2 linked regions of the Styela clava genome follow. The protein of the gene in region 1 binds, or shares a complex with, the protein of each later gene. Links are inferred from orthologs where the notes say so. Each region holds a gene or a part of one and is shown in the gene's direction. Other genes may lie near its edges.

Region 1 (15,625 bases):
TCATTTTCTTGCATTTAGGGCCCAGTCCTAGGGCCTCAATCTGCTCGATAAAAGACAACTCGAACATTTCTTTGATGGCGTTTAAGAAGTCGTCATAATCTTTTTTTGTTACCGGAATGTCTCGATCTGGCATAAATTCTTTCATCTTAGCGTACTGTTCTGTCGTAAAACTCTGAATTAGGTAACGCAGTTTAAATTCGGGATCCTGGATTCCGAAATATTTGAAGTCTGTAGTTACGATGTCAATCCATTGGTCAACATCGTGTTCCCAAATAGGTTCGCGTTCATTAATGCTTAAAAACTTGATATAATTTTCAGGTAGCATTCCCACTTTAGAATCATCAGTTGAACTTGAACTAGTCGACGTTCGCGCCATTGATTCCTGCTGAGAACTAATATTTTCCGGGGTACTTGGCGGCGTCATTATAGATTGTGTAGTTTTACGAGGAGAAAACTCCGTAGTTTGTATTGCTATACTTATTTGCTTCGAATTCATTCTAAGAGGGTTGAATTATTTCGACTGCTTTCAGAATCCTACTTATCTTTTAATCTTGTCGCTGTTGTTAAAATTCTGAATAAACAATATTGAAATTGGTCTTCAACTTGTTGATATGAAATTCTTAATGGTTCCTTGTCCGGCAGACACGACGGTGATTATCATAAATATTTGGGATTCTTGGCCCTATCTGCCTGTCCACTCACGTGGTATTGTATTGACACACGTTTAATAGAGTATAACTGCAATCTGAACTCCTCAGAAGTCAATAAGCACACAATGTGCTGTATGCCAAATGTTCGTATATTGTAAAGATGCACAATCCAACTGAATCCAAGTATACACTTAAACTTTAATACGGTTTTAAGTTCGAATCCAAAACGTAAGAATAGCGAGAACATGAAAAACACGCTATATTCCAACTCCCGAACGAAGGCCGGAAACACACGTCATCCCAATTGGTCGATACAAAAGAGGGCTATACGCACAAAGCTAAGGCTTGAAGCTGTCGCGATAAATCATAATCAGGGAAACAGCTAAAATGACCAGTTTCATTGAATTCAACATACTGTTAATAAGAAAGGGTTAAATAATATTAAAATCCATAGTTACAATCCAAATTCGCTACAATATTACTGACTCATTTTTCGGCGATGGAGTGCTCCCTTCTTTGTTGAAAATGAATTTCTTATTTGCATCATAATTTCATAATAACCTTTTTTGTCATCTTGAATCGATTTCGCTATTTTCGAAAATTGCAAATTTATTGCTATTTTCTCTTGCAGTGACAATGTGATGTGTATTTCCAGAATCGACAAAATATCTTATGCTACTGCCAAATGTCGATATATGGCCATTTATATTCAAAAGTCCGTTCAAGGCAATCACGAAAATTGTACATATTATTATTGCATATAAAAATCTTCGTCAAAGCCAAAAACTAAGTCTAACATTGCACTTTTATCCAAATTTTTCGTTTTCTTGTATTGTAATAACCATCCTTCTCAATTCATGCTTTTTGTACTTCTGCATTGGTACCGTTTATGTATATTAAATATTGTACCAGCATTTCCGAACGTTTCGAAACACGGGTCATCGTCATCTTTACTAATTTCCATTATATGCCAATTTAAATGATTTAAAATGATAAACATAAATACTTATACAATATATTATAGAGTATAAATAACAATTGCTAATGCCTGCAGTACATGTTCTGCATGATTTTAGTATGGATGTTAAATTGAGATTATGGTTCAATAGACTCCAGGCAGGCGGACAACAACATACGAAATAGTATTATGGCTATTTGCAAATAACGTTAAGTTTGTATGGCTATTTGCAAATAATGTTAAGTTTGTGAAACACAGCAGTTTGAATAATGAAGTTTTCTCTTTCATAATTTTTTTCAACTTCGAATTATTTTCTGCTCGTCGTGTAAGAGGGTGCGAATGCCATTGCCTGCTTTCCTCGATTAAGTTCTTGCAAATAGCTGAGGTGCGTCTGAAATGTATGCATAAGTGTACTTGGATAATTATTGGTTTGTAAATTACATACATAAAATGTGCTGATCTGCATTTGCAACTACATACCTTCATACGCTCTTGTTGTCTTCCAGTCTATAGTCATCAGCAGCTACAACATCATAAATCGGTTCTTGTTTTACTTGGGCCTCTTTATCAGGTTCTTGTTTTACTTGGGCCTCTTTATCAGGTTTATTTCTGAAATGAAGATATAAATATGAATCTTTGAGTAAAGTTACAAATAGTAAAAATATTTGACTTTATGAACCAACTAAATATATTTATTAAATATCATTGAAAAAATATATTTGAAGGTACTTCCTAAATAGCCTAGCTTCTCATCTAAAGCTTTGTTTGTTGTATATATATAAATTCATAAACTACGAAGCTTGAGTATTGTTACTGGGTTTTATTACTCTGAATGACATATATAAGTAATACACAGAAAAACAATATATTTTTTTTACCTTTTAATCTTTTTATGATACATTACAAAAGCTGTTATAACAATAACTAGTAAAAGAAATGGTGCAGTGAATCCAACCATAAAACTTGCTGCATCTAATTTAAAGCCACGATCATCGAAGCAAGAATTTTTAATATTTCTATATTTCTTTTTACGAGTCCATCCCCTAGGACCTAAAAAATGCAATCATGTATTTAATTAGACGTGCCAAGAATAGCTATATTATTTTAAATTCGCTTTTGTATTAAAAGTAATGATCTAGTCCTTCATGTAATGGTTGCATGGGCTGGGATCACGTTTTACAACGGCATATGACGAAGTATTATTTTTACTGCTGCAATGCACAAATGAATTCACCTGCGCTTATCGCTTTAACTAGAACTTCTTACTTTTAACAGAAGTTTTTTCAACGCGCATTGGCAAAGAAATGACACTACTTCAAAAAGTTAATAGTCATCAATGTTTTTGTATGGTTTTTAGCTGGAATGCTTTAAATGAGAAATTTGACCTAATAAATATTTAACTTATTCTGAGTCATAGCAGTGAAACGGGTTTTCATTTTATCCACACAGCTGTTTCAAATCTGTTTTAATAAAAATATAGAAATGTTTATTTGCTATGTTTCCGTTTTCCACATGCATATGTAACGAATGAATCATAGGGGCACTGCAATTTCAGACAATTAACTCATGCCTCAAGAACGTGCCGATTCTCAATATAGAAATGTTTTGATATTTCAAAGCAGTAAAAATTTACATAACTCATTTTATATTACACTCACATTTCTTTCGTTGGCAAACAAATCCCATTCCCCCATCTGCACAATAATAATCATGCCAGCGTAGTTGCTCATCCGACTGTCTAAATCCCATGGTTACGCATGTTTGTATTCCTCTTACATTTGGTTGACCTTCATTCCAATTCTGATACTCCATCGGTGTTCCATCATTCCACCGAAAAGTGCCGTTATTGTGAACGTCGCGCAATCCAATGAAATACCCTGATGCTTTCCCTATTTGTGATGTATGGTTAGGAATAGAAATGAGTGTATGATCCCAATCGCCTTTCAAAACGCCTCTTTCTCGTAAGACTATCGGGCGTTTGTGCCGTGGTCTCAGCAAAACTTTGTATATATAAAAATCCTTCAATCTTATAGTTGAGCCTTACAGTAATTTAATTGCACGTAAAATATGTTACGAAACAAAAAACTCAATTATTAAGTAATATTTAGTTTGAAATATATGCAATATATGAATATAATATAACATATATACATATCATTTACCTGTACATTCTAATACCAAGTTTCCGATGAATAGTTGGGTTTTTTCCGACTTTATGAACGCCAGTTCTCCGCCAACCTTTTTACAGGATGATTCTGCTTCGTAATATGTTCCAGTAAAGTTTCCAGGTGAAATATAATATTCATACGACCTTTTGCCACTCAACCAAACTCCTCTTTGTCCTGAAAATAATTTGTGGCACTATTGCTTTAATTTTAATGGATATCCTCAACTCTAGTTGAATTTGAATCGTTGTCCAAATAACCAAACAGCACTGTAGCTTCGAATAATAGATCTTGAGTTCGAGCTTGAGTTATACCGACGACAAGCCAATACCCTTCGGATTATCAAGCTGTTTTTATTTAGGTAGGATATTTTAAACATTGTCCATTTCAAATACGATTTCTTGGGAATTTGAGAGAGATACTTTATATATATATATGCATGACTGCATGTAAACTCCTGTAGTTCGGTACAATATAAACGAATAAATATATTTTAGACTTATAAACTTTTCATATTTATATGCTACAAATAATTTTATCACAGTGTATATAACAATTACGCTACAGTAGCCTACTTACCGAAGCAAATTTTCATCATAACCAATAAAAGTAAAATTATGATTTCATCCAACGCAGTCATTCCGAATTGCGCTAGTAATTTTCTATATAAATTACAAAAACAAGGTTGTATCATCTACCCCGAGGCTTTACCATAAAATTGCACACATACATTGTGTTTCAAAATACGAATGAATAATGCAAACTAAAAATTAGGATGGTTATGAACTAAAGTCTTCACCATGATCAATACTTGTCACGTTGAGACGAGATTACGTCATTTCACGCAATAAAACATGCAATAGAAATAAAACGACACTAATATCGGGTTGATCTGTACTCTGCCTAACGTTGTTTATCAGGAAAAATCAATATTATTGGAAGACTGGAAATTTTTGTAAATAGTGTATAAACTTCATTGTGAAAAACTGACGCGTGAATTTTTCATCTCGTCAAGTTGTTTACCATTGTGTTTGTGAGTATTGTTCATGCGTTCTGCAGCAGTTCTAACGTTACTAGCGAGAGTTCAGGTCTATGATCTGCTTATTAGTTTAAATCAGGGGTGACGAATCTATTTGCTGTCGCGTGCTATTTTATCAGTCACCGCTGAGTGAGCGGGCCACACAACATTTTAGTCATATTATGATACCTGTTGATTTTCATCAACAAAACGAGCAATTGCATTCATACAGTTGATGTTAATAAATTATATATTGCAGCAATAAATAAAAAAGAAACATCCAATGAATATAATACTGAGCGCTTTCTTTATATTAGGGCGAACTGGCGATGTGAAAACTTCCAACTGCATACTAAGATTTTCGTCTGCCAGCTTCGACCTGTATCGATCAAGTTCGGTTTTGGGTGCGGCGTCATCTCACTCGGCCGCGAGCTCCGCTCGGATGTTCGAGATTCGAATTTCGTTCGAATACCGCAGCATTTTTAACACGAATTTTTTGGTCAACTATACCGGTGTATAAGTGTACAAATAAATTTTATTGTACTGAATGAAATGAATTGTAGTCTTTAATATTTCATCGCAGATCTAGCGATTTCTCTGACGTCGATATCTTGAAAATAATCTTGGTTGTTAACATTGTGATAGAGCGGAGTCAGTGATGCAAGAACAGATCTAATTCGTATAACTAATTCGTAACAAAGCAAAAATACGAATCAAAACTAAATATAATCGGGCTGTTTGTAATACTTTTCATGGCCGTGGATTGCTGTGATATTTCATTAAAATTTTCTCAATTTGTCAACGCAACCGCAGGTTACATTAAACATACAATTAAATTAATAAAGCAAAACTCGTATTGGTCATCATTGGAATACTATCCGCAACTGAAAAATCATTACTCGACAACATAACATAACAGTAAAATCATTATCCGTTGTGGCTGCAGGCATTCGATCCCTTCCTTAGTCTGTTGATGGAATGCTAGCAGACGAATCTAATAACAATTCAATGCAGCTTGACTCGTGTTTCAATATTTTAATAGCATGAAAATCCAGCTTCCACAGGACATCCGTCAAAAAAGTGGGCTCTTTTCACAAGTGGCCTACCTAATTGCGACGACAGTTGCATGAAAATTTTCAGATGCTTTCCTCCTCACTTTCGGTAATTTCAACCTACGCCTCCGCTCAAAATTAAAAAAATATTTATAAATAACCCAATTACGTTTTTGGGGTGGGGGCTAAGATTGCAGATTGCGCCGGAAATTCGAATCCCCAAATCAATCCTAACCCGAACCCGAACCGCAACTGAATAATTACCAATTTGGTATTTCAGAACGCGGTGTTTTTCTCAAATTTCACATTTTTAAATTAGTAGTGGGGGCTTTGTACAAAATATCTGTATTTTGCAAGCTTTCAGAAATTATAAACGAATCCATCCTGTCACGATTAACCGATTTTTGAAAAGCAGGCATTTTTTCAAGACCTTCCATTGTTTCCATCATTGAGCTGAGGTTATAATTTTTTTTATTAATTTTAAATATCTCGTGTATCGTGCGCAAAAACATTACAATTTCAGCACCTGACATCTACTCCATTTAACCGTATGCGTTTGCCGATAAAACAGCGTAATTATGCTAAGACAATGGACATTTTGATCCATTTTCAAAGGTATTGATGATCCAACAAAAATAGATGTAGCCTATCGTTGCTAGTAATATAAATACCACTGGCGCTCCCGTTTTCTGTGTGCAGTACCTAAAGGGGTATGACTTTACGACAAACATAATTATACTGAATCGCCTGAATTCTTCGCGGGCCGCACGAAATTTCTTTGCGGGCCTCAGGTTCGTCACCTCTGGTTTAGATGTATGATACAGTGTGACACAAATATATATATAAATTTATGGCAGTGCTAGGCAATTTATTGACAGTGCTTTGTACGGTAACCCGACGCTTTTTTAATACCGATGCGTCTTTTAGCCCGATATAGCCCATTTGTATGGATAAAAGCACAATATAAGTAATTTAATGACGGTGCGCCTTTCAACCAGGAGCACCTCATAGTCCCTAAAATACGGTAATTTGAGTTTATAGGTATAAATCTTCAATGCGTTGAGATCATGTAATTTAAAATTGTCTTACTATTATTTTTTCTTTTCATTCTGTATCTCTAGTACAAACGAATGAACATTTTCATTCAATTTTGTTTTATTTTATTTTTATTTATAAATGTTACTTTATCAACATATCTTTTGTGATTATAACAATGTGTTTTGAGACCTAAACTCAACTCGGAATAACCGCGGAATGTAGCAATTCATTTTGTCCTAACTGTTGCCAATGAATCAGAATACTGTATAGGCTATCCTGTCAGTTTCAAGATCTTTATGGGAGATATATTGGATACGCAGCCAGTTTGAATAGTTAAATCATGCGCCTGAATACTAATTCTCTGTGTCGCGATAAATTACTAAAATGTTTGAATTTGCAAGCGTAATGGCAGTGATTTCATTTATTAAGCTTCTAATGCACGAAGTTGAGATCAAAATCAAACAAAACGCTTTTACCCACCAAAAATAAAATTGGGTACCGAAAAAATAAATACAATTGAAACCAGACAATAAAGTCCGGGGAATCTTCTAAGTTGTAACAATAAACGTGTAAAATTGATGTAATAACTGATGCATTCAGCAATGCAGATAAATAACAAAACAAAAAAAAAACACATCCTCCATTTGTCGATATAAGAATCTAAGTAGATTTGCGAGATGAACAAACATTGAATTGATTTGAGAAGTTAACTTGTAGCAAAATTAAGAAACCAAGTCCAGAGGCATAATACAAAACTAAACTGCTGTTAATCGCTAAAGTGACCATCAATGATTCCCCTAGTCATAATCGGTTTTTATTTATTTATTTATTTTTACCATTCATTTTATTGTCTTGCTGATTATGGAGTCGAAATAAACTTATACTTATACTTATACTGAACTGAGTTCTTCATACTCCGTAAGGAAGAAAGAATCATGTTCATTACCCAATTAATTTTGACTCCTCGCACTGCCGTAATTTTTTACACAGCATTTTTGAAAAAACTCGTCAGTGGTGGGAAGAAGTCCAACAATTTGGGAATATCGAAATTCAGTAAAAAATGATGAAAAAGATGAAATGAAAAGTAGTATGCGTTCATTTTTTAAGTGTAAACTGGTAAGGATTTTAAATTTATTTCTGTAAAAGCAAGCGAAAGAAATGATTTATTGTTATATGAGCACATGGATGATCTTATACATAGATCAATCATGATTTAAGTTTATATGCAACACCATACTGTGAAAATTATTGAAATTGTATTATTGGTAGCCTACATCATTTTCATGAGAAGATGGTCTATGGACTGTGGAACATAGGTGGCGAATAGGAAAAACCCAGTACAAAAGCGTGTTTTTTTCCATATTCCTGTATTAGTGTATTCCCTGACTAATTTTTGTATTTTTATTCCATTTTTCATGCTAACTAAAATAAACTGATTACCTGGAAATAAAATTATATATAACTGCCGAGTGGATTAACTCAACTTCTTTGAACATATATGGATTATATTACCTTAAATTAATGATATCATGGACATGGTAATGGTATGAATTTTGTATTTATTTGGATTTTACTCTACTATTGATAGATATATTGGGGGAATGGGATTTAAATTTATAAAACAAAAAAACATGGAAACAAAAATTATGTACCGTATTTAAAATAAAATGATTCGATTCCAAAATATTAATACAAAAATTCCGTTTGGCATTGTATTTATTTGGCAAAAAAGAAAAAAGTTTAAAGCTTTTGAATTCACAATGTTTGAATGTGGAGCTGTACAGAAATACTAAAATATATGCGATATATTTTGAAGTCAGAATCTAAAATCTTCACGTTTCAAACCTAACTTGAGGTTTTGTTTGCTCTCACGATTCTATAATTAGTTTTATTTGTTTTGTTTTTGTCTATTACATTTTATCGCCTATTATGCTGGTTATAGAGTCGAAATGAACTTATACTTACAGTATAACTGTATAAGCTGTCGTACATTTTGTATAGCAGTATAAGTTAGGTTCAGACGTAGAATGCTTTGTGATTCGTATGTCAGTATTTAGCGCGTGGTACTGCTGTACTGTTGTAGGAGAGCATGAACTAGCCTATAGCGCGGCGGTGTGGCTCAACGGGCTAAGCGTTAGGAATACGCTCGCCACCGCACCTCTAATTACTCTGCGTGGGTTCGCAGATTTGAATCCCATGCAGGGATGGTTATGTGCGAGAGGATTGCTGGACTCCTCGCCGTCGTTGGGTGGTTCATGTAACCGCTGGTCGGTTACGGCTTCCTCCACCATCAAGTCCATGCTTCCGAAAACAAACAATATAACTAACCATACCCGACTTAAAATGGTAACCGGACGAGAGGCCGTGGTTCGCCATATGGATAAGCCGTCTTATCGGCTTTACTCTCCCCAGGGAGAAGTATGTAAATCCTATCCTACATCTTTTTATTAGGATTATAACAGTATAAAGACATGTCTGCATGTATCGTAATGCTGTAATAGAATAGATATTTCTGTGCCTGAAATCCTAGAAATCAGGGGTTCCTGATTTAAGCGGCCTTTCGACTGACAGAGAGGATTTGTATCACAGCACAGCAGTACTGTACCGCCGTACTGGTACTGCGGTATCAGGCGTTTATGCATTTCGAACCACGCAGGCTCAACTACAGACAGACAGAGATACGTTTATCAACAACGCGCAAGGGCTCAATTGTCATTATTACCTATTCCTTTGATCGAAGTGAAATATTTCATTATTTTTTTATTCTGTTATTGCTGTTTTATTATTTTTATAAATGGAGATAGAGGAAACCTTAAATTTTTGATTTAATTAAGTGCAACCTATTCATTTGCTTTATGTATCTCTGTTCGTTATGTCCTTATGTCTGCTGGTATGTGTACTATTTTCAGTGTACTATTTCTAAGCATTTCTAGATAAGATGCCTGACACTGTGATATGAAGCTAATTGTGTTATGTTTTGTTATATCTTCAGTGTCAATTAGAAATTTGAGTTATCTTATTATAACCTTGTGATTTAGGATTACAAAAACAGAATGAGGGAAATTCCTTTGTCAAATTGTGAATATGAATTTGTCACAAAATGTATTGGAGAATCTACAAGAATGGACGGAAGAACTTTTGCAGATTATCGGGAAATAAAAATAACTTTTAAAATGGATTTTGGATGTTGTATTGTCAGCTTGGGAAAAACTAAAGTCCTTGCGCAAGTCCGTGCAGAAATGGACAGACCCAAAGAAAGCAGATCAAGTGAGGGAAACTTGGGTATTTTTGTTGAAATGTCTACAATGGGATCACCTAGCTTCGATCCCACAAAACCAGGAGAACTTGGAATAGAATTGCAACGAATGTTAGAACGATCTATAATATTATCAAAAGCTGTTGACCTGGAGAGCTTGTGCGTGCGAGTTGGAGAACAAGCATGGAATGTATCACTTCATGTGCAGATTTTATCCCATGATGGAAATATATTGGACTGTGCTTCTATAGCTTCGTTAGCAGCATTAGCACATTTTAAACGACCAGATGTTTCTGTTATAGGAAAAGAAGTAACTGTTCACACTTTTGAAGAAAAACATCCCGTGCCTTTAACATTCAATCATCAGCCATTTTGTGTGACTTTTGCCTTTTTTGATAATGGTACCACATCCATTATCGATCCAACTAAATTAGAAGAAAATTGTTGCGATGGTAAATTAATGATAGCAATGAACAAACATAAAGAAGTTTGTTGCACACAGATGAGTGGTGTTGTACAAGTTAGTAGCGATCAAGTTTTAAAATGCACAAATATATCTTCAGTAAAAGTCAAAGAACTCAGTGAATTTGTAAAAAAAGCAATCGCAAATGATGAAGCTGCAAAAAAGAATGGTCTTAAATCGTCTCAAACTAAATTATCCAATCGTTCAACAAAAACAAAACCAGATCTTGATCCTAAAACGCACATCGCGTCTGTCGAATCTAAAGTTCATTTACCTGTGATTCAACAAAATGAGGACGAAATTCAGGGTCCATTAAATAAAAATGAAACAAGACAAAAGCTATCATGGGTTATGAATAATGGTGGAAATACGTTTACTGCCGGGGAGGACGGGATAGAAAATACTGCTACAGTTGCCATGGAAACTGAATCAAAACAGACAGATATTAAAATGGAAAGTGATGAAGAAGAAGATACAGTCATGTTGCAATTAACCTGAAATTTATTCTTTGTCTAAATATAATAAAATCATATTGTTAAATGTTATTAATTATTAATATTTTTGAGCAATTCGAATTTTTTAAACATTTTAACACAAATTAGCATGCATTGTTCCCAAACAGACTTTTGGACCGTTACTCTAGTCTGTAGACATTTTCCATAATATTCATCCATATTCAACCACCTTTTTCTGTTGCGAATTTATTTCGTAATTTTGAAATGAGCTATGCAACAGCATGCTCTATGTTGTACTTAATTTTCTAAAATACATAGGTCTCTAGTTTTCAAACATTTTGAGTATTGGGATATCCTCCAAAAGTCAAGATAACCCTTCTAACCACTTACAGTTCGTTTTTAACTTCTCGTCTTTTGAAAAACCCACAGCATACAATTATGGCTGTCATTTTTGCAGAGTTAACTTGATTAATTTACATTGTGAAGCCAAATAGGCACAAATCTATGGTTAACAAACATGGAATCAGGAGATTTGAAACTAAAACAAGATTTTGAAGATCTTCAGCTTCAGCAAAGACAGAAAATGATTGACAGAATGAAGTCCAAGAGCCAACAAAGCAATACAAGCATGGTATCTATGTTTTTATACGTTGCTTTCTCCTCAAACAAGGCTCTGTATAAGCATAAACTGATAACTTAATGGAGATTATTCGGAAGGACCATGAGATTTCCGACCTAATTTAATAAAACTGGGTCTTGGGATTTGAACCAGAAATCGTTATGCTCCTTAATAAATCTAAAATTACAGTCATGATTAAAATTTGATCAATTACTAAGCATTGTAAACAAATAACAAAATATTAAATTTGGGTATTTTATTAACTATTTTCTTGTCAGCCTCCACATATGGATACTTTATAATAATGCAATTTCATCACAACTGCTGGAACGTTCTAAGATATGCGACCTGCCTCATAGAATTCTGTGAAGAGTTCTTTATTTTCAGATGTCGAACAGTCAATCATTTGGTCTTGGTGATGATTTAAATCTTACGACTGAAGACGTTTCATCGAGTAATATTGCTGGATTACACACTGCATTGGAAGATGCCAATACCAGGATGAGAGAAGAAATAAGGTGAAATTTTATTGTTGTTTATCTTGAAGTTTTAATTCAAATTAATTTGCTTTTAATATTATTTTTTTTGTTTTGTTTGTTTACCTGTTAACAAGAAATTGACTCTTATAGCCAGTGACCTTGATTGGGTAACTCTCAGTCTACGACATCTTGTTACTTGTTTATAGGGTGTTTCACATCCTTACGAAAAACTACATTTGTTTTAAAAGAATCTCTGAGATTTTTTAATTGGCATTTTTAACCCAATATTCGGCCAATTTGGCCGTGATCTGAATAAGCATTAAGCAGTCATCAATTCGATCACTAATTACTATATTTCTTATCTTCTCAGCTTAATCCTTTCAGTTTGGCAAGAACCACTATAAGATATTTTTACTCTCATTAAATAGTGACATTCAATTTTGTTTTCAATTTCAGGGAATTAAAGGATGAGACTGGTAGACTGAGAAAAAACTTAGCTGAGAAAGATTATGATATAAAATCTTTGAATAAAAAAATCTTGAAGATGGAAGATGACAAAAAATTATTAGCAAGTATGTATCTTTCTATTATTAGATTACCTTTCATGAAACCTTTCATGTTCTGATTTAAAAAAATGTAGTTAGACGGTTTGAGCTTCGTGCTAATAATTTGGTACATGATTGTCATCGTACGATGAATACCCCGCATTCGCAGCTTTGAATCCTGTGAGGGTAAATTGAGTGTAGAACACTTTCTGTTTTGGTTACTGTTCTACAGTTTATCCAACTTAAAGTCCATGCATCCAAAATGAATAGCTGGCTAACTGTTCTAGTACCCAACATGGACTGGTAACTGGATGCAAAGCAATTCGGTATGAGAGAATTGTTGGGCCAGTCCGTCAGACGGCTCACATAGCATTAGGTTTTTTTTTTTCTCTGTCCATGCATCTGGAACGATTATTTAGTTACTTAACCTGTTTGATAACCAGACAAGAGACTGTGTTCTGCCATATAATAGCATATTTCTGTCTTTGGCAAAATCATGTCCTATTCAAATTTTCGTTTATTTAATATATAAATTGTTTTTATGTAGGTGCTGGTGCTGTATCAGACACGGCTGCAATGAAAATTGTTGATTTATCGAAACGAAATCGTGAATTGACAGCAGAAAGAGAAGCAGAAAAGACTAAATCGCTCAAACTTATGAAACAGTTGGCAGAACTTGAAAAGTCGGTATGTGCAATATGAGGTTTGATTCATGATTTAACTGGCGTATTTTCAGTCGGTATTTGATCAATTATGCCAAGATTGAACCAAAGTTTCTATTTTATATTCAATATTCTCATACTTGAACATGACTGATATTTACTTGTTAAGCAAATCTTTATTGGAATCACGGAATGTCTTATGGCTTCTCAGGTCTTATTAAGTTTAAGCCAGTTAAGGTACTCCAATTATAATTTTCACTTTTTTATGTCAGTGCAAAAAGGTGGAAATTTATTAGTTTGTCAATTATTAGTTTCACAAATGTTCAATTTTAACGTATTTTCGGAAATTGTTTTTTCTTAACTTGTGTGATTTGTGTGAATAATTTTTTAACAGATCGTATTTTGTAATTTTATTTCTTTGTTCGACATTAAATTCAGACCAACACAACAAGTTCAAGCACTCCAAGAAAGAAATTGAGTCCTCGCAATACACTTGCTATCAATCCAGGTTTGTATTTTTTTTGTTTAATAATAAAATTTGCTCAAAGCAAGTTCACACACTTACTCAGAGTCAGAAATATAGGAGATTGATCTCTGAGCGAAGTTATTGGCGACCTCTGAACTGCCAAGAGCTACATAGACTGCAGTTTCTTAGCAATGCAATAGCAAGTGTATTCCCATCGCTTAGCATGAGACCACAACTGTTGATCCTTGTTCCTGGTGCTAATGAAATAATTTACAATTTACCAGTGTTTTATTTTCTGGTCCGTAGAAGTTCCATCAGATAATGTGGAAGAGTTGAATGACAAATTACAATCGTGTTATATAAAGATGGCAGAATACAGAAATCAGATACAAGAACTAAAACAGGAACTGAAGATTGCCAACAAAGTGAGTAGAAATTGCCAGTTATTTGTTTGAGATGCATGGACTTGATGGTGGAGGAATTTATAATGTGCTTACTTCTATTCACCATCTAAGAATAATCTAGGAGAATAACATCAAATTAAATCTATCAAGTTATTAACTCTCATTAACTTATCTCTAAATTTAGGCAAATGAATATAAGTTAGCGATTTTATTCCATATTCTACTACGTACTTTGTTACCTTACATCAGTGATTTCCAACCTTTTTCGATAGCTTTTGTCTATTCTGGATTTCTTCATTACTTCTTCAAAAAACTTCGTATGAGTTAGTGCTATGTGCAATTCACACTCTGACTTTTACACAGTTTCAATAGCTTCTAAGTATCCTCATGAAAACAGTAAACAACATCGATGAAACTACACCAGGAAGAAAGTAATATTTCCGCCCCCAGAACAACAAAATTCCTTTGATAAAAGATGCTCTAAATGCTGTTTTCTACACAATAAGGTTTTGCAACAAGAGATTGGAGAACCACCAGCGACTATGCAACTTATATTAAGCAGTGGAGGATCAGGATTCAGAGGAAGAACTCAACAAATAATGACATTGCAAGATAAAGTGAAGTAGGTGTTGAATGTTTCCACAAATACCAAAAAAATTAAGTCAGTATTCGAATCTGTTCAAAATTATTAAATATATATATTACTGTTAATTTCTTGATTTTAGGATTGTTTTGAATAATTTCGTTTTAAAAATATGAATTTCAAGCAGTGAAAGCCCTGCAATATGGCCAAAGAACACTTTATTTTATTTCTGAAAATTGTAAAAAATGAGACTAATGAAATTACCGTTTGTAAAAACTTTTCTATATTTCTGAATTGTAACTTATTGAATGTATATTGTAAACATATTCAGAATAGTGAATTATTGGTATTCGATTGTGACCCTTTGTGGACGTTTTATATTCGACCTAATTTCATGCTCAATTGAATAACCATATTTGACTATTTCTCATTTATCTTGCCAGGGATTTAGAACAAAAACTGATGACTGCTACAGGACGCGTCAATTTAACCAGACCTGACAAGAATCAAGAAAGAATTAAAAACATGGAGAAACAAAGAAAAGAACAAACTGAAGTAAGGAATTTGTTCTTGAGAAATTCTTGATTAGTTAAAGGTCAAGAATCTGCTAATTGTTACTCAATTAATCTATAATTTAAATATGATAGGATTTTCATATTTTTCCTGGGGGGAGGAAAGCCTATTATTCGTTTCAGATGCATGGACTTGATGATGGAGAAGCTGTAACTGACCGGCGATTAAGTGAACCACCCCATGGGAGTGAGGGGTTCAGCAATCCTATCGCAATATTTTTTGATCTCCTCATTTATGTT
Region 2 (16,008 bases), on another chromosome or scaffold:
ATGGTGGGCAATAATACATGATAGGAATTTCATGATAATGCTCTATGCCAGGGCTACTCAACTATTTTCACCAAAGGTCCGTCATTCCAAAAAAATTATCTTAACTATGCAAACAAAATTTCAAATGCATCACTTGAGTGAGAGTAGCTATACCATTCCGTAAATCGAGTTAATGATCTTCTAATTTCAAATTTTGAAAATACAACTAAAACCTGGCAAATACCATGCAAAGCCACAGAAACACACTAATGTTCAAGAGAGTCGATGATCTGAGAAACTTATACTTCCATGAAAATTTTTACTCCAAAGGTTTAGCGAAAAATGCATTGCGATTATTAAATAAAAAGAAACGATGCATTCGAAGTCAAGAAGCAGCCGCGGAGTTTAAATAATACTCGAAAGGTCCGGACTCGGACCGCGGTCCGCCAGTTGAGTATCCCTGCTCTATGCAAACCATTTTCAGGCAGTAATTTCCATGAATTCGTGAAATGCAAGCCTTCCTATTTGAGATCGAAGCTTTTTATTCAATGCATATATATCTTGGATATATAGCGATGGCTTCGAACCATATCCGCGCAGTTATTTTATTCTCTTTGTCGCAATAATTGAATACTATTGTCCATATACTTCATAAAACGAGTAAAATATCAATTCTGATTAAAACAAATTTGTCATTTCAACAAAATTTCATTTAATTTGGCGATACAAGTGCTTTTTTGAAATTGTGTTATATATACGGTGTCCATGGAGTCCAAAAAAAAATTAAAATTGCAAAGTGAATTTATCGATATCATATATTGTTTTGGTTCTGTCAGATGTATTAAATGAAGTAAAAATACTTATACAATTACTGATTAAAAATCAACAAACCTGGTTAGGATATGCTGAGAACTGACTTCATAACAAAATTGAAAAGAAATTTATGGACACCCTGTACAATCGTTTTTAAAAGAATAATTTGAATAGTTTTATTTCATTTGCTGATGTCGCCATGCTTACATGTTTTCGTGTTTATATTTTTAAATACTTCTAATATTTATTAAAATCGATGTCGAATTTGAGCACTAATGGGGGGAGCTGACTCTGATGAGTTTGACCGCATGATCGTATCGCTCTCCCCAGTCTATACCGAATAACTTAAATAACTGCGTATATTGTTGTATATTTTTTCTGGTTGACGAATAATAAATCTCTTTCTATCGAGGTCTACCGCATTTTAATGCCTTTGCTAAATGCCAGTCACGAGCAAGCGCAAACAACATAATCATGACACTGCAGCCATTATGTCGAAATATATTTGCCCATTTTGATTACAAACATTAGTACTTTGAAATGTTTTCACATTCAGTTTCCTTCAAATAGGATTCTGAAATTCCAGTAATAAATATTAATAGGTTAGTTAGGCGAATACATTAAAGTTTGAAAAGTTGAACTGATTTATACACCAAATGTAATTTATTACACAAAGATGAAATTGAGGGGTTTTGACAAGATTTTGCGTGTTTAGTACTTCTTATATCTTCATCTTGAGAGAAACTTCATTGAAACAAAATGATGTCTTCGTCAACTTTCAGAAAATAATAAAAGTTAGAAAAGGAACAAACACAATTTCTTTGTGTCAAATTTTCTTCAAGTGTCATTTAATTGCTCAAAACTTAGTAGATGATACTACAAAAACTATTGAAAGATGCATCATCGATTAAATATATTCCGGGACTTCCTCGTCCGTGTTTTTCGACGGAACAATAAGTTTTTCCGTAAGTGATACACGAACTTTATTTTAGTAAAGGTTGGTTAGACTAGATTCGATAGCATTGGAAAAAATGTGAAAAATATAAATTTGTCTGAGGTTACCTTGTTCGAATGTTTCTTCTTTTTCCAGGCTTCTCTTGCTTATCTTTAATCTCCACAAAACGACCCCTTCGTTCTGCCTGTATAATAAAAGATTGCAAACAGTTTGTACTGGAGTTTGACTTACTAGGAGACTTTAAATTGAACTCAAAAGAACGTCAATGAAAATAACAAGGTTTCGATTCTCAGATTCATAGACATGAAGTCGAAAGGCAAAAGAAGTAGTACGGATATGAAATATCTCACAGGAGTCTACCGGCACCGCAGCCTTCTCCACTTCGCCTGACCACCAGATAGAAGCGAACGCGGAACTGCCGCAATGTGCGCGATTTTTGATGACGTCATCGCACACAAAAAACTAATCCCATGGAGCGCACAGAAATTTAAAAAAAATCTTTTAGCGAAAAATACAATCTTAACCACTGGAGGTTTCACTGCAATTAGTGTGATAGCTAATGAGAAAGCGATTTTTTTCATAACAAGAAGAAAAGAAAGAAAGTAATAACAGGATGATCAATAACAACTTAATATATAACAAAACCCTTGGGCTGTACTGGAGGAACCCGGGTTGCAAATCAATAGTCTAGATCAGACATGGGTAAACTACGGCCCGCGGGCCAAATTCGGCCCGTTGGGTAATTCAATCTGGCCGGCCTGATGCTGCCACAACCAAACTAAAACCAAATTTTGCTGTTTTAGCAAAAATTAGCCAAAATTTGTTGGGATTGCGATCAAATTGTTTTCGCATGAGGCTTATCGTTTTCCGCTTTTGTTTTTGTAACACTGTGTATACTGTCCATAAAATGTAACTTTCCCTTCATACTTACATGGCCTCGTCAGTGTAGATGGGCAAAAGTTTTGGCCCCCGGTCTAAAAACCTTGCCCACCCCCTTGTCTAGATTCTAGAATTTATTTAGCTTTAAAATTTGGTGTTTATAGCTTTGTTTCACCAAGAATTATATATACTAACATAACTCACCTAGTTTTACTAACTATAGGTGGGAGGTTGTCCGGTAACTTTTTGTCTGGTGGTTTATTCGAAAAACATTTTCCATTGGAAGATATCACTATAAGCGTGATATAAATAATACAAATAGAATGAACCTCCCTACTAGCCATCATAAACTGTGCAGATACTTTGTATAAAAAAGGAATATTCAAAAAGGAAACTGAGTTTATTTTGGAAATAACTTTGTGTACAATCTTTGTGGAACAATCAAAGTGTGATGGATTCATATAAAAATGCTAAAATATGCGTACACGGACGGCGTATAACTACGTCAATATTTCAAAAGCTGTCAAAGCAGCGACTATTTGTAATGGACTATGAGTTTCATTCTATTGCACACACACCAAAAATGAATTTTTGTATTGCATTTTATTCTATAAACGCTTATAGATATGTATAAAATTAGCAAAAAAAGAGCAGTATACAAAACATATTGGTTTTGAGAAAACAAGTTTCGTTTCTAGATATAGGAAGTAACAAAAAGCACAGTCCTGATTGATAATAGCAACACGTAGAATCTCTCTCTCTCTTTCTGCCGCATTCGCTAGCAATTTCGTTACGCTACTATCTACGGTTATCGAAAACTGTGTAATTTAAACTCAAATATAATTTTATACTTATTATTATATACTCAATTTTGAAACCCGAAACACTAAATTCAAGTAGGCCTATAGCTTCATCGTGCTCAAACTTTCGATATCATTCGAAGTTTTCGAAATTAATGCTACGCACATGTAATAGAAAATTATGAATGGTACGGAAGTAAACAGGAAATAAACTATCTGAATGGATGTATAAAGTGCATTGATACAAGCAGTAGAAACTTTCTTCGGTGACATACTTGGGATGGTTTCATTCATATTTAATAAGTGTTATATCATTAAAGTGATGATCGTCATTATCGATATTTTGAATACCACGTCTTCTCAAATTAATGTCCAACCCAAATGAAATCACCACCCTCTATCCAGTCATACCAAGTTGAAGAATAAATATATCATTGAAAATATTGTTTTCCATAGCTCGAAAGCCTTCATACATTATGAAATGGAATAGAATATTGCTTTTAAATTCCATCTTGCATGGACAGCGGCATAGACAGGGGGGTGTATGATTTCCTAACGCCTTGTCGGATATTATCACGCACGAGATAGTTATTGAATCTTATTCAAATGAAGGCCAATAAAAAAATTCAACTTTCATTTTTAATTTGCTTCCGGCGCTGCAGTGGGACGCACGGGCGCGGCGGTGTGACTCATCGTGTGTTAAGCGTTGGGAATACGCTCGCCATTTATGATTACTCTGCGTGGGTTCGCAGGTTCGAATCCCATGCCAGGATGGTTATGTGCGAGAAGATTGCTGATTGCTCCTCGCCGACATGGAATGGTAACCGGGTGAGAGGCCGTGGTTCGCCACATGATTAAGCCGTCTTATCGACTTTCCTTTCCCGTGGGATGAATATGTAAATCATATACTATCCCTATCCTAAAATGAACCAGCAGTCACGTATTTTTTGTGTTTATTTCAGTCTCAAGCCTCATTCAACAAGGTTTGTGTTTCTTGTGAGTGTGTGCTGGTAATCAGTAGTTTATTTCTCACCATACTCAAAACAGGCACAAACATACAAATTGCAATAAATTAAATTATAAATAGGCCATATTTCAGGTGGAGGAGACGCGAGAAACCAGTACCGGTTATCGAGCAGCGGCACCTATAAAATAAGTCTAACACTATATTATACAGAAGAAAAAGTCGAACTAAGTTTAAATAAATTGAGAAAAAAATACATCGAGTCAATCGACTGATTATTACAGGTTGGCTCTAAGTTTTTAACGTTTTATTTGTCAATGGCGCCTTCCGCCCACTTGCATCCAGAACGCGATATGGTACGTCTCATGAACCCTGAAACGAATAAACATTTTTTTTTCTATAATTGTGGTTTTTCCGTGTGGGCTGTGTTTATAATGACCAAGAGTATATTTATTTATTTATTTAGCAAAATCGTGCTGCTAAAAAACAAGAAGTCTTAAAACGTGTTTCATTATAAAATTTAAGCTCAAAAAAGAATTTAATCGTACTTAGCAAATTGCGTCTAACATTTTTGTGTATAAATACAGTAACGTATCCAGTCGCATGTGTATAAAATAAGAATATATACTTTGATATGATAACATCATGTAAGTATTGCAATAAAATATTGTATACATGTCAAAAACATGTATGCGTAAATACCAAATGATAACAAAATACTTTTCATACAACGCAATAAAATAAATTTCCTAAATATCCGAAAAATCGTCAAATTGACCCAAAATTTGAACAAGACCAACCTTTGAGGCTTGAAAAATATTTGGGATATGGATTGACATCTTTAACATGTTTTCAAACAAACAAAGAAATTGAAAAAAAAACTCGATCAGTTTTCTAACAAAATACTTTTATACAACGAAATAACGTAAATTTCTTAAAAATCCGAAGATCGTGAAATTGACCCAAAATATAAACAAGATCTGATTTTGTTTTATTTCTTTATTTGTTCAAAAACATGTTGAAGGTATCATTAATTCATACACAAAATATTTTTTGAGCCCCAAAAGCGGATCTTGTCCAAATTCTGGGTCAATTTAACAAAGTCGGATCTTGATCAAATTTGGTGTCAATTTAATAAATTTTCAATTTCTTTTGTAAATATTACGTTATTTTGTTGTAATAGATATATTTTGTTGAACCTCTCATTCGATCATAAATGCTGTGTGTTATCAGATGATAGATACATAATAATGTTCAATTTACAATTCTACATTTCCGTGACTATTAATTAGAATTTTAGAAATATGTTTTTATGACAGCGTATTATTTGCTGAAGGATTTTGCTGATATGACAGTGGCAATTAGAATTGCAGTGATCGGCGTGCCTTCGCAGTACAAGCAGTCCCATTGAAATTGTCAATTTTCCAAAATGGACTACTGAAGCCAAAGGTTTATCTTGCTTTACACTTGAGCAATTATTTGGCCAAACTTGTTCTTTCTTCGTCAGCGAGCAAAACAGCGTTTACCAGTTTACCAGAGAGTTTATACCATTAATATATCAGTATATTGATGGCAATGTCGCTTTTGCGAACGACTGATTGCAGGATTGCCGTGATTTTCACATTTTACTGTTTTAGTATGAATTAATATCAATTTATTTTTTTGATTTTTATGGGTGTTTGTGTGAGACTGTGAGGGATTGTGTGAGTCGAGGGCTTAGTACAGTAAAGCCATACGGTAACTGTGCAAATAACGCTAAACAAAAATGTGAATTGAAATTTTAATGTAGCCTAATTAAAAAATATCGTAGTCTATAATGCTGTATGTCGAAGAAAAAAATTCTTGAAGCACACGTTTAATTCAAATTAAACCTGCTCAATTTTCAACTAAGCTGGTACTGTATGTATGTCCTATGCCGTTTAGGGTATTGCAGTATTGTGTACGAGCATGAAGGACTTTTATTTTAAAAATAGAATGAAAATTTGGGTAGTTCTGTAGTTTCACATCACATTTTTGTTTAGTGGTATTTCAGTATTTAAGCAAGGATGTATAGGCTAGATTATTCTATATTCCTGTATTCCGACTTCCAGATATTGCGTTTTTTATAGTTTATTTGTATTAATCTGAGCGAAGCATCTTGAATTTCCAACTGTCAGACTGTAGTGGCACTTGTTTCTTGACTGGTATTTATGCTTTATTTTTGTTCTTTATTATTAGCTGTATTACTGCTGTACTGTTTCACAATACGGCACAGTTTTCCAATTGCAAGAATAGCCCTACATTGAAAAACATCAATCATAATAGTGGGTGTGAACCAATCCTTTACGACAGGGGTGTGCAACCTTTTTTATTGGCGGGCCAAATACAAGTAACTGGGTGAAGCCGCGGGCGCACCTTTATTTAATTTAGGCTTTCTGGTAGTTGCAAGCACAAAAATTGCCTATATTTGCTATTGATCTTACGGCATTATTAGGGGTTCTTGCAGAAATAGTAGATTTAAAACGCATAAACTTCTGAAGAAACTGCTATTTAAATTTTTTGTCGCACCGACTTCAAACGAATGCAGTGAGAAACACGTTTTTGTAATATAAATCGTGTATTTTGAAACAGAATTTTGCTAGCTTGTTTTGCTAATATGACTGGTATGGGCTTTGGCCCGCGCATTCGGCCCGCGGGCCGCAGTTTGCACACCCCTGCTTTACGAGACAGTCTGGGCGTCGATATCTGTTCCAGAAGGAAGTGCAATCTAAAGACATCACCATTGGATTCTTTAATCAGAACATAATATTGATTTACTAAAAAAATTAGATTTCGATAGTTTTTAGCCAAAAATCGCAATTTTGGTCATGTGATGGACTGATGGCGGAGACATATCACGCTTGATTTAAACCATCATTGAGACTAGTATGATGCTCTCTGATGCATATGCCATTTCAGGCGATCATAGCTATACTTTTGCAAGCTCTATGACAGGATTGCGACGTCGTAGTGACCTAATTTTTTGCATGGCGTAGTCAGGTGGGGGTTAGGATTGGCATGTGCAAAAATTGTTATGCTATGCCCACTGGAAGTACTTGAGGTACGAAACTACTCGAGACCTGAATATTCTATAAAGTAAATTTAATATTTTTTTTATACACAGCTGAGACAAGTATTGTGTAACTATTGTGCTAAAAATGGGTAAAATTCGAAGAAATAGAACGAAATTCCACTTGTCTACAAAAAATTCACAAATTGAAGAAAGCACAAATCAAGAAATCGGAGTACCCAAAGACTTGGATACTATCCAGCTTCCTCCTTTGTCACTAAATCCTTTCAGTGGTGGTCAGATTTCAACTAGTTCCTTTGATCAAAAGGAACATGAGGAAAAGAAAATTGATTTCACTTCAGATGTAGCTTCTGTAAATGTTCAGGAAAAATCTGCTGCATCTAACATTCATCTGAATAAGAAAAAAAGAAGAAAATTAAAACGTCAAAAGTTTTTGGAAAAATTAGAAGTGACGAGAGTCACAAAAGAAAGCAAAAAAGCAGCAAAGAAAAGATCAGATGTTCCTGTTGTTGGTGACTTGAAGCCAATGTCTCTCGCTTTGAGTGATATAACTAAAATTATCAGCTCTGTTGACGATAGTCAAACTGATGCAAAAATTGTTTCAACTAAGAAAAAAAGAAAACGAAAACCAAAATGGCTGAAAGAGAAATTGAAAGACACAGATCCATTAGAAGGATTTAAGACAATTAATGAAAAGGGAATAACGAAAATACAAAGTAAAAGAACTCAAAAACACATGGTTTATGAAATTCAAAGACTGCAAAAAGTTGTATCGGATAAAAAATTTAATGGTGTCAATTTGATTTTGACAGATGCGAACACAAAAAACGTGGTGTAACGTTTCAGAATTTTTTTGACCCTTTTGCAACTATCCATCATTTCATCATGTAGTGTCACTGGAGAAGCCAGTGCTTGGGGTTGAACTGCCCTTATTAAATTTCAGGAAGACAGAAAAAGTGGCTAATGAGCATGCTGTGTGATGTAAATTGTAAAGATTTGATTCAGTAATAGAATCAATTAGGATGTTTCCGAAATGTAATTGGCCTTGACTGCTTAGGCAAGAAATAATTTACTAGTTAGTATTGAATTCAAATATTTAGATTGTTAAGTTCTTGTTGGTAAATCTGAATTTATAATCCAATATTTTTTTTGAGAATTCTAGTTACATATATATGGTTATGAAAATAGAGCATTTCAGCAGAACTGGAAAGATATTGGATTATCTATTACGAACATAGAACTTGTAAAATATGCAACAATGTAACCTGATATGCTAATACCTATAAAGGATACTCAACATGATTTCGGCAATCACTGGCCAGTTGCAGCTTATTCCATTATTTCTGATTGTCTGGCAGAAATATCATTATCTAAAAATAATTCAATACTTGGGTTTATCTTAACTGAATGAGAGTTTATGCTGTTCTAGTGATTGAGACTTCATGCCAGCTTTTTTTCATATAAAATGATTTTTAAAATTTCATTCTTTCCCAATTTGGATTAATTGTATCGTGTCCATATTAATCAAATGGTAACTCTGCTTTCAGGTTTTATGCAATTATATTACACAGTACTTTATAATGAATATGCTGATGAGCCTTCGAAATGCTGGAGGGAAGCTTGTGGGTGGACTTCAATCAAGATTATTAGTAAGTTCTATTACATGTGTGCGGAGCAAGCACACCTTACCTGATCTGCCTTATGATTACAAATCTTTGGAACCGACAATATCTGAAGAAATAATGCGATTACATCATTGCAAACACCATGCTACCTATGTAACCAATCTAAACGCAGCAGAGGAGAAACTTGCTGAAGCTCAAGTAAAGAGCGATGCAACGGCAATAATCAATCTCGCTCCTGCTCTCAAATTCAATGGTGGCGGCCATATCAATCACTCCATCTTTTGGACAAATTTATCTCCGGATGGTGGCGGAGTTCCTCAGGGAGAGTTAGCTGAAGCTATTAATCGTGATTTTGGCTCCTTTGATAAAATGAAAGAAAAGCTTACTGCATCTACTGTCGCTGTTCAGGGTTCTGGCTGGGGTTGGCTCGGATACAATAGAGAGTGTGGAAGATTAGAAATAACGACTTGTGCTAACCAAGATCCATTGCTTGCAACTACTGGATTGATACCACTTCTCGGAATCGATGTCTGGGAACATGCTTATTATCTTCAATACAAAAATGTTCGTCCTGACTATGTTAAAGCTATATTTGATATTATTAACTGGTCAAATGTTTCAGACAGATTTGAAACAGCGTCAAAATAAATGTTATTTACAACAATAATTTTGGTTGCCACTTTGGTATGCGAACTCTGCATTTGTGTGATCTTAGTGATTTTAGAGGGTTAATTCATGTCTTTATGAGATCGCATACCAAAATGGCACCCAATTTCGTTTTCTATTCACAACTAAACTAATGTGATATTCTGTTGCAAAATATTCATATTTTTTTTTTAAATATATCGAAAGCTTCAGGTGTTTGAATTTGTTTGAATTACTATTCAATAATGTAATTGGTAATTGTTCATAAACAGTTATTCCATCGTTGAGGTAAAATCTGTTTAATATTGTATAATTTATCACAGAGATTCACAACTAGTTACATTGCAAAGTTATAGTTATTTCTTGCGATTATGCCTACCGATTCAAGAAGAATACCTGCTCCGGAAAATAGCTTCAGTCCAGATATATTTATTTCTGATAATAAGAAAACAACGCAGTTATTGGGTAATTATGATTTTTGAATTTATCTTGTTGTTTTTGCTCATCATGTTTCTGTTGTTTCAAGGGCTGTGAAATTTGGTATGTGTTTGCCGAATTCATATTCTTAAACTTTTCAAAGCCAATGTAGAAATTACGTTAACTTTAATTGTCTCATAATTTGGATGAGGTGTAAATTTCTCCTGATTCTTCAGCTAATTGTAATCATGTATGATTTAAAATTATGGGACGCAATTTTACTCATGTATTCATCACAGCTATTGAGAAATTTACCAATGATCTATTTTTTTGTATTTTTTACTGCCCATCTTTTTAATATATCGGTCCATGAGTTAGTTGGTTAACAGAATCCTCAAATACAAAATTAAAGCAACTTTTCTTTCATAGAAAATGGCCGTCGTTTTGATGGAAGAAGTTCAGATGAAGTGAGACCATTATTTTTGAAAACTGGTGTCATATCACAAGCTCGAGGTTCATCATATATAGAAATGAAAAATACCAAAGTTATTTGTGCTGTATATGGACCTAGAGATATTGGAAGAAGAGATGATTTTCAAATGGAAGGTAAACTTGATTTTGCATTGATTTTTCATGTTTACAAGTTAGTTGTAGCCAGAATAAATCTTATCGTAATGTTGTTGAGTGTGATATATTCAAGACGATTACGAGTCAGCATGACTTTATTAGTATGTCAGGCAATGTCTTTTTTAGACTGGGCATTTCCAAAAGTATAATATTCGAATCAGTATAGAGCAAAATTCCAAATCACCATCTTGTTTTTTTTTCTTCCCGCCAATGGTCAAGCAAGTTTTTTTTATTAAAGCCATATTTTTTCGACGCAAATCCTACATATGACCATTTTTCGTAGTGGGTTATTGATAAAGCGTGTTTCTTATTTTGTGTGAATGATGTATTCTATGTTTTCAATAATTCATTTGTTGACAGGACCAATAAAAATATACTATAAAAATGTGCATACAATTATATATCTCCCAGGTATTCAAGATTCAATTCCCAAATAAATATTCAATAGGATTCTGAAATCACCAGGTATTCGAAAATGCCCAGCCCTAGTCTCATTTAGATAGGAATTTATTCATCATCCAGTTACTGTATTAGCCAACAAATCAAATAAAAACACAAATATTAACAACATTCAATAAGTAAAAGAAGGATAATCGACTAACAACGGAATTGATAGGAGGTTGGAAGGACCATACGGTCACTAAATCAAAACAACTCTCCTGGCACGAAAAAGGTTGACAGATTACATTTTATATTTTACCAATTATAAAACATTTTAACTCGTAACTAACAATCAAGCAACAATAGTAATGTGACACATATGAGATGAACTTTGAAACAGAAGTGGCGAGAAAAAGCGTTTAATTTTATATCACACAAAATAAAAAGGTACAACTTGAAAAGGTATGAATCACTACTTATTCAGAAAAGACTGGAAATACTTCTTGGAAAAAACATTAAAACTGGAAATTTCTATTAGGTTTTCGTAAATACATTTGAACGTCAGTTTTTTTATCTTCTAACAGGTGTGTTGAAATGTGAATTCAAATTTGCTCCATTTTCATGTAAACAAAGAAGAGGTCATATACGTGACAATCAAGAAATGGAATATTCACAAGTATAATAAGTTTTTTGTTGCTAGATCTTCAAAGCATATGTTGTGTTACTTGTACACAGTTTATTTTACTAGCGATCTTGAAAAAATTAGTTTGAATGGAATTTGCAATTAATTATATTTGTAAAGTATGTAGTAATATTCTATATTACTGGTTTGAACTACATTTACTTGCTTTGATGAGCATTCTCTAATTTGGTGAAAAAACAATATGTGGCTTAATAAGAATCTTGGCTCAACTATTTGTTTTTATGTGAGTGTACAATTGCACCAATCAAACATTCATATTTGAATTCTAAATAGGTTATTATCAGTAGTGTGGTTTTGTTGTTATCTGTTTCGTTTTCTCACTCTATCAGAGAAAGAAATCTAGAAATATAGCATCGAACTTTTTTCAGATTTTAGCACAAGCTCTTGAGCCTGCAGTATTGATGCACAAATTTCCAAAAGCACAAGTTGATGTTTATGTCACTGTATTAGAAAATGATGGAGGTTCTCTAGCTGCTGGTATCATGGCGGCATCGCTTGCATTAACAGACGCATCTATTGAAATGTATGATATGGTTACATCCTACAATGTACGACTATCAGGAAAGGTATTTTATATTTATTACTGGACAAGTGTCTATTTATGTTATGATAACAAATACTTTAATTAAGCTGCTTGACTTAGTAACAGCCTAGGAAATGTTGTGCCCAACGCCTCTATTTAGCACATTTACCCTTGTTAAACAGCCTGCAAGTTTTAGGAACACCCTCACATTGCTAAGCACGAGGGTCGGCTTAAGCTTTGAGCTCTGGTTTATATAGTCTTGTGAGATACCGAGGGGAGCCCTCTCCCATAGTCTGGTAATGGCATTGGTGAAGCATGGAAATGTAATGAAAGATAGGATAAATATTAAGTCTCAACTTCCAATCTATGTTTATGTGGAACACGGTACTCCCGTCACTGTTGGTTTGGACTTTAGTTTGCGAATCCAGGAGATGTATATTGTTCAACTAGGGAGAATTGTGTCTGGAATGTTTCATTGGAGTTCCATTCCAACAAAAAGGTTGAAAACTACTACTCTATTCCTATCTTTGTGTCTTCCAGAATATGTTAATTCATGATCCAACAGCGTTAGAAGAGTTTGATTCCAATACAAGTGATGGTGCGTTATGCATAAATCAAGGAAATGTTACAGTTGCCCTTCTCCCACTTTTAAACCAGGTGAACTAAAGATAATATTGAATAATAATGAAAGGGATATACGAAGAAATTTTATTGTTTTTGAAAATTCTTCGCCACTGATATGGGAAGCTAGCTGGCAGTGGATACCTGAGCTATTTAGTTTAGTATTGTTCCTCTAGTTTACTTATCCCTTTTACAGAAGATGGCGGATAGTGTGACTGTGATGGCTGATGACTCAACTGCGTTGGCATCGCAGAATGTAATAAATGGGGGAGGTGATACCGATTCAGAAAGATTCTGGTTCTTTCAAATAATAGTAGTAATGTAGCTTTAGATATCAGTGGCTACTTGTACAGGGCCTTGTTCTGAGCGAAAGGCATGACAATAAAAGGCCACCACCAAACTCCTTAGAACAGCGGGTCACCAAACTACAGCCCGCGGGCCGGATCCGGCTTGCGGCGTTCTTTCATCTGGCCTGCAATACCACAAAAAAATGGCACACATGGCGCGTGCTTTGGTGAAACTGTTGCTGTGTTCGTATCTTGTGCTAAAATGAACGTTGAACGTGCATTTTGCGCTAATAGTACTGTAATCTCTCGCGTACTGCTCCATTTTCACAAGTCAAATTAACCTTTGTGCTGCTTAAATGCAGATATTTTTGACAGCAATATTTTGCTAACAGCTAACATCAGGATAGTTGTATAGATTTAGAAATCTTGTATTTTGCTATGATGTTCTCGTTCTATATTCTGCGATATGGAAAGAAATTTCAATATTCTTCTAAAGTCTTCAGAAATGTAGACTTTGCGGTATATTTTTGAATAATGGTCCTGCCTGTTTCAACACAGTTTAAGCCATACCTGGCCTGCGGTCAAAAAAGTTTGGTGACTCCTGCTCTAGAGAATACCGAGTTAAAAAGCTGGATAGAAGAAAGCCTCCTTCGTGAACATGATAAAAGCTTGTCTTAAATCACTATATTTGTTATCTGATATGTTTTTTGTTACAAAATTGTCATCTTTGCCTCAGGTTTCTGGCATGGTATCAACTGGCATCATTGACTGTGACATGCTCTCAGATGCCATACAAAAGTGTACTGATGGAGCACAAAGTATTTATTCTGTTATGCAAAAAGCTGTCATAGAATCCTACAATGAAAATGATGTTACAGATGGTGAAGAGACCTGATATTTACAGCAATGTGATAGGAGTGCACCTCCAAGATGCGTATCGAATATGGAGTATGCTTGATGGTTGGGTCAGGCTTGGCGAAACTGTTATGTGTGGGGTGGTTCCTAGAAAAACAGAAAGTTTGTCAAATGGCTACTAGTATTTATTTTTACATATGATGATTTTAAAACGAGATTGGAACAATAGACGCTGATTGGAAGTGCGCAGACGACATTTTGAACATCTATGAGTGTAACATATGCCTTTAGAAAACTGTAAAAGTTATTCTTTGTAAAAATGAATAGCTGTTTGACAAATTTTCTGTTTTTCTAGCGACCACCCTGTACAAACCAATATAGCAGATATCTGTTGCATGCGTGTTTTAACAATCATGTTAATAAACTATTCTGGAGTGAGAGGAATATAATAATGTATTCTGGAGTTTTAATGTGTAATAGAAGAGTAATACTCAGATATATGAACACTTAAGGCCAAAGCGCAGTTTTAGGGGTGTCTAATCGCTCACAGTGCCGCAGCTTTTACGACTTCGCCTGACCACCGAATGCAGAACCGTCACATGGAGCGCAATTTTTAATTTTGATGATATCATCGCACACAAAACACGAATTTCATGGATCCGACAGACATTTTTGAAATAAGAGTAGTAGCCACATAGCGAAAAATACAATGTTGGTGGTCCAGTAGTAAATATGAGAGAATCGATTCTTCACCAGATGAAGAAAAGAATGACTAGTTATGAGATAACAATCCATATGCCCATTCCGTGTCCAACAATAGGTAAGTTTTAAGCTATTGAAAATATATATATATTTACACACAGCCCATCCTCTACCTCCGTGAAAATCTTATCACTTTTACGTCATGATACATTTATAACTATGATTACGCCGTGTTATCGGCATAATATCCCTACCGGGATATATTTAAAATCTGTTTAAATATCTATCAATTCCATAATGCTGCGATATAGGTTCGGTATCCTGTCATCGCACTGTACTGCATTCCTGCTGCCGTTCCCATAGTTACTCGCACATATGTGCTTGGAGTCGTTTTTGGTTTTGCTTTTCTGTGTTTCGAGCGTCTCTTGGATTCAGGTCGTCTCGATTTTTCACTTCTTTATATTCTTTTATTCATTGTTTGACTTTTTTCATTGTTTTATGATTCATTTATTAGACTTTAGCTCAGGTGTCGCTGCTCGATAACCAATTTTGGTTTTCGCGACTCCTTTCACCTCCAATTATCCGTTTTTGCTCCCTTTTACATTCCGTATGCATTTAGTGTATTTCATGTGTGGTGAAAAAATAAACTACTGATTACTGATTACTGATATGCAAAGATATTTTTTCGGATGGGAACATGCTCATTTTGCGCGTGGGATATGTAAAAACATTCAGCTGACCTAGCGTCGTTTTCGAAGGAACCATAAGCCAGTTAGCTCTCTTTCAAGTCGCGTTGATAATGGGATTTCTTTTATCTAAGCTTGTGAAGCTTTTCAGCAATGAAGGTAACCGTTTTAAAATATAAATATTATGATCTGGTTATGTGTTCATGTTCACTTGAATGCAAAATTATAGTGTTTTTAAAATTAAAAATGACTTATTTTGTAATATCAAAATTCTGGAATTTGTGAGCTAGATTAGCTAGAACGTTTTAGATATCGACTGATACCGATACGCTGTACAAAATCAAACAATATTGGCTATAGCATTTTCAGATACGCTGAACGTTTTGATGTTATAGTCACGATTTAAGTCCTACGGGTACTTGTATAAAAAAAAAGGTTTATGTTGTGATGTTGGGTTGTTACACTTCCAGACTTCAATGTTTGGACATGGTCTTTTC

What was found.
Region 2: exosome complex component RRP45-like (region 1) and exosome complex component MTR3-like share a complex: the UniProt entries of both Homo sapiens proteins name them as parts of the RNA exosome core complex. The link is inferred for Styela clava from reciprocal best matches to the Homo sapiens genes EXOSC9 and EXOSC6.

The regions. Positions count from the first base shown.
Region 1 is NC_135252.1:17,066,571-17,082,195, reverse strand, and holds exosome complex component RRP45-like, read left to right. Parts: upstream 1-9,841; 5' UTR 9,842-9,934; coding exon 9,935-11,098; 3' UTR 11,099-11,513; downstream 11,514-15,625. Other genes in the region: uncharacterized protein LOC120343169, read right to left, coding at 2,091-2,217, 2,487-2,658, 3,267-3,497, 3,771-3,950, 4,353-4,467; coiled-coil domain-containing protein 13-like, read left to right, coding at 11,573-11,686, 12,062-12,192, 12,610-12,725, 13,246-13,385, 13,799-13,868, 14,133-14,251, 14,737-14,852, 15,257-15,368. UniProt on the Homo sapiens protein: Non-catalytic component of the RNA exosome complex which has 3'->5' exoribonuclease activity and participates in a multitude of cellular RNA processing and degradation events.
Region 2 is NC_135259.1:16,247,621-16,263,628, forward strand, and holds exosome complex component MTR3-like, read left to right. Parts: upstream 1-10,037; 5' UTR 10,038-10,080; coding exon 10,081-10,174; intron 10,175-10,555; coding exon 10,556-10,732; intron 10,733-11,718; coding exon 11,719-11,810; intron 11,811-12,205; coding exon 12,206-12,403; intron 12,404-12,900; coding exon 12,901-13,017; intron 13,018-14,004; coding exon 14,005-14,163; 3' UTR 14,164-14,557; downstream 14,558-16,008. Other genes in the region: uncharacterized protein LOC120338528, read left to right, coding at 7,567-8,277; superoxide dismutase [Mn], mitochondrial-like, read left to right, coding at 9,020-9,712; ADP-ribosylation factor-like protein 5A, read left to right, coding at 15,625-15,670. UniProt on the Homo sapiens protein: Non-catalytic component of the RNA exosome complex which has 3'->5' exoribonuclease activity and participates in a multitude of cellular RNA processing and degradation events.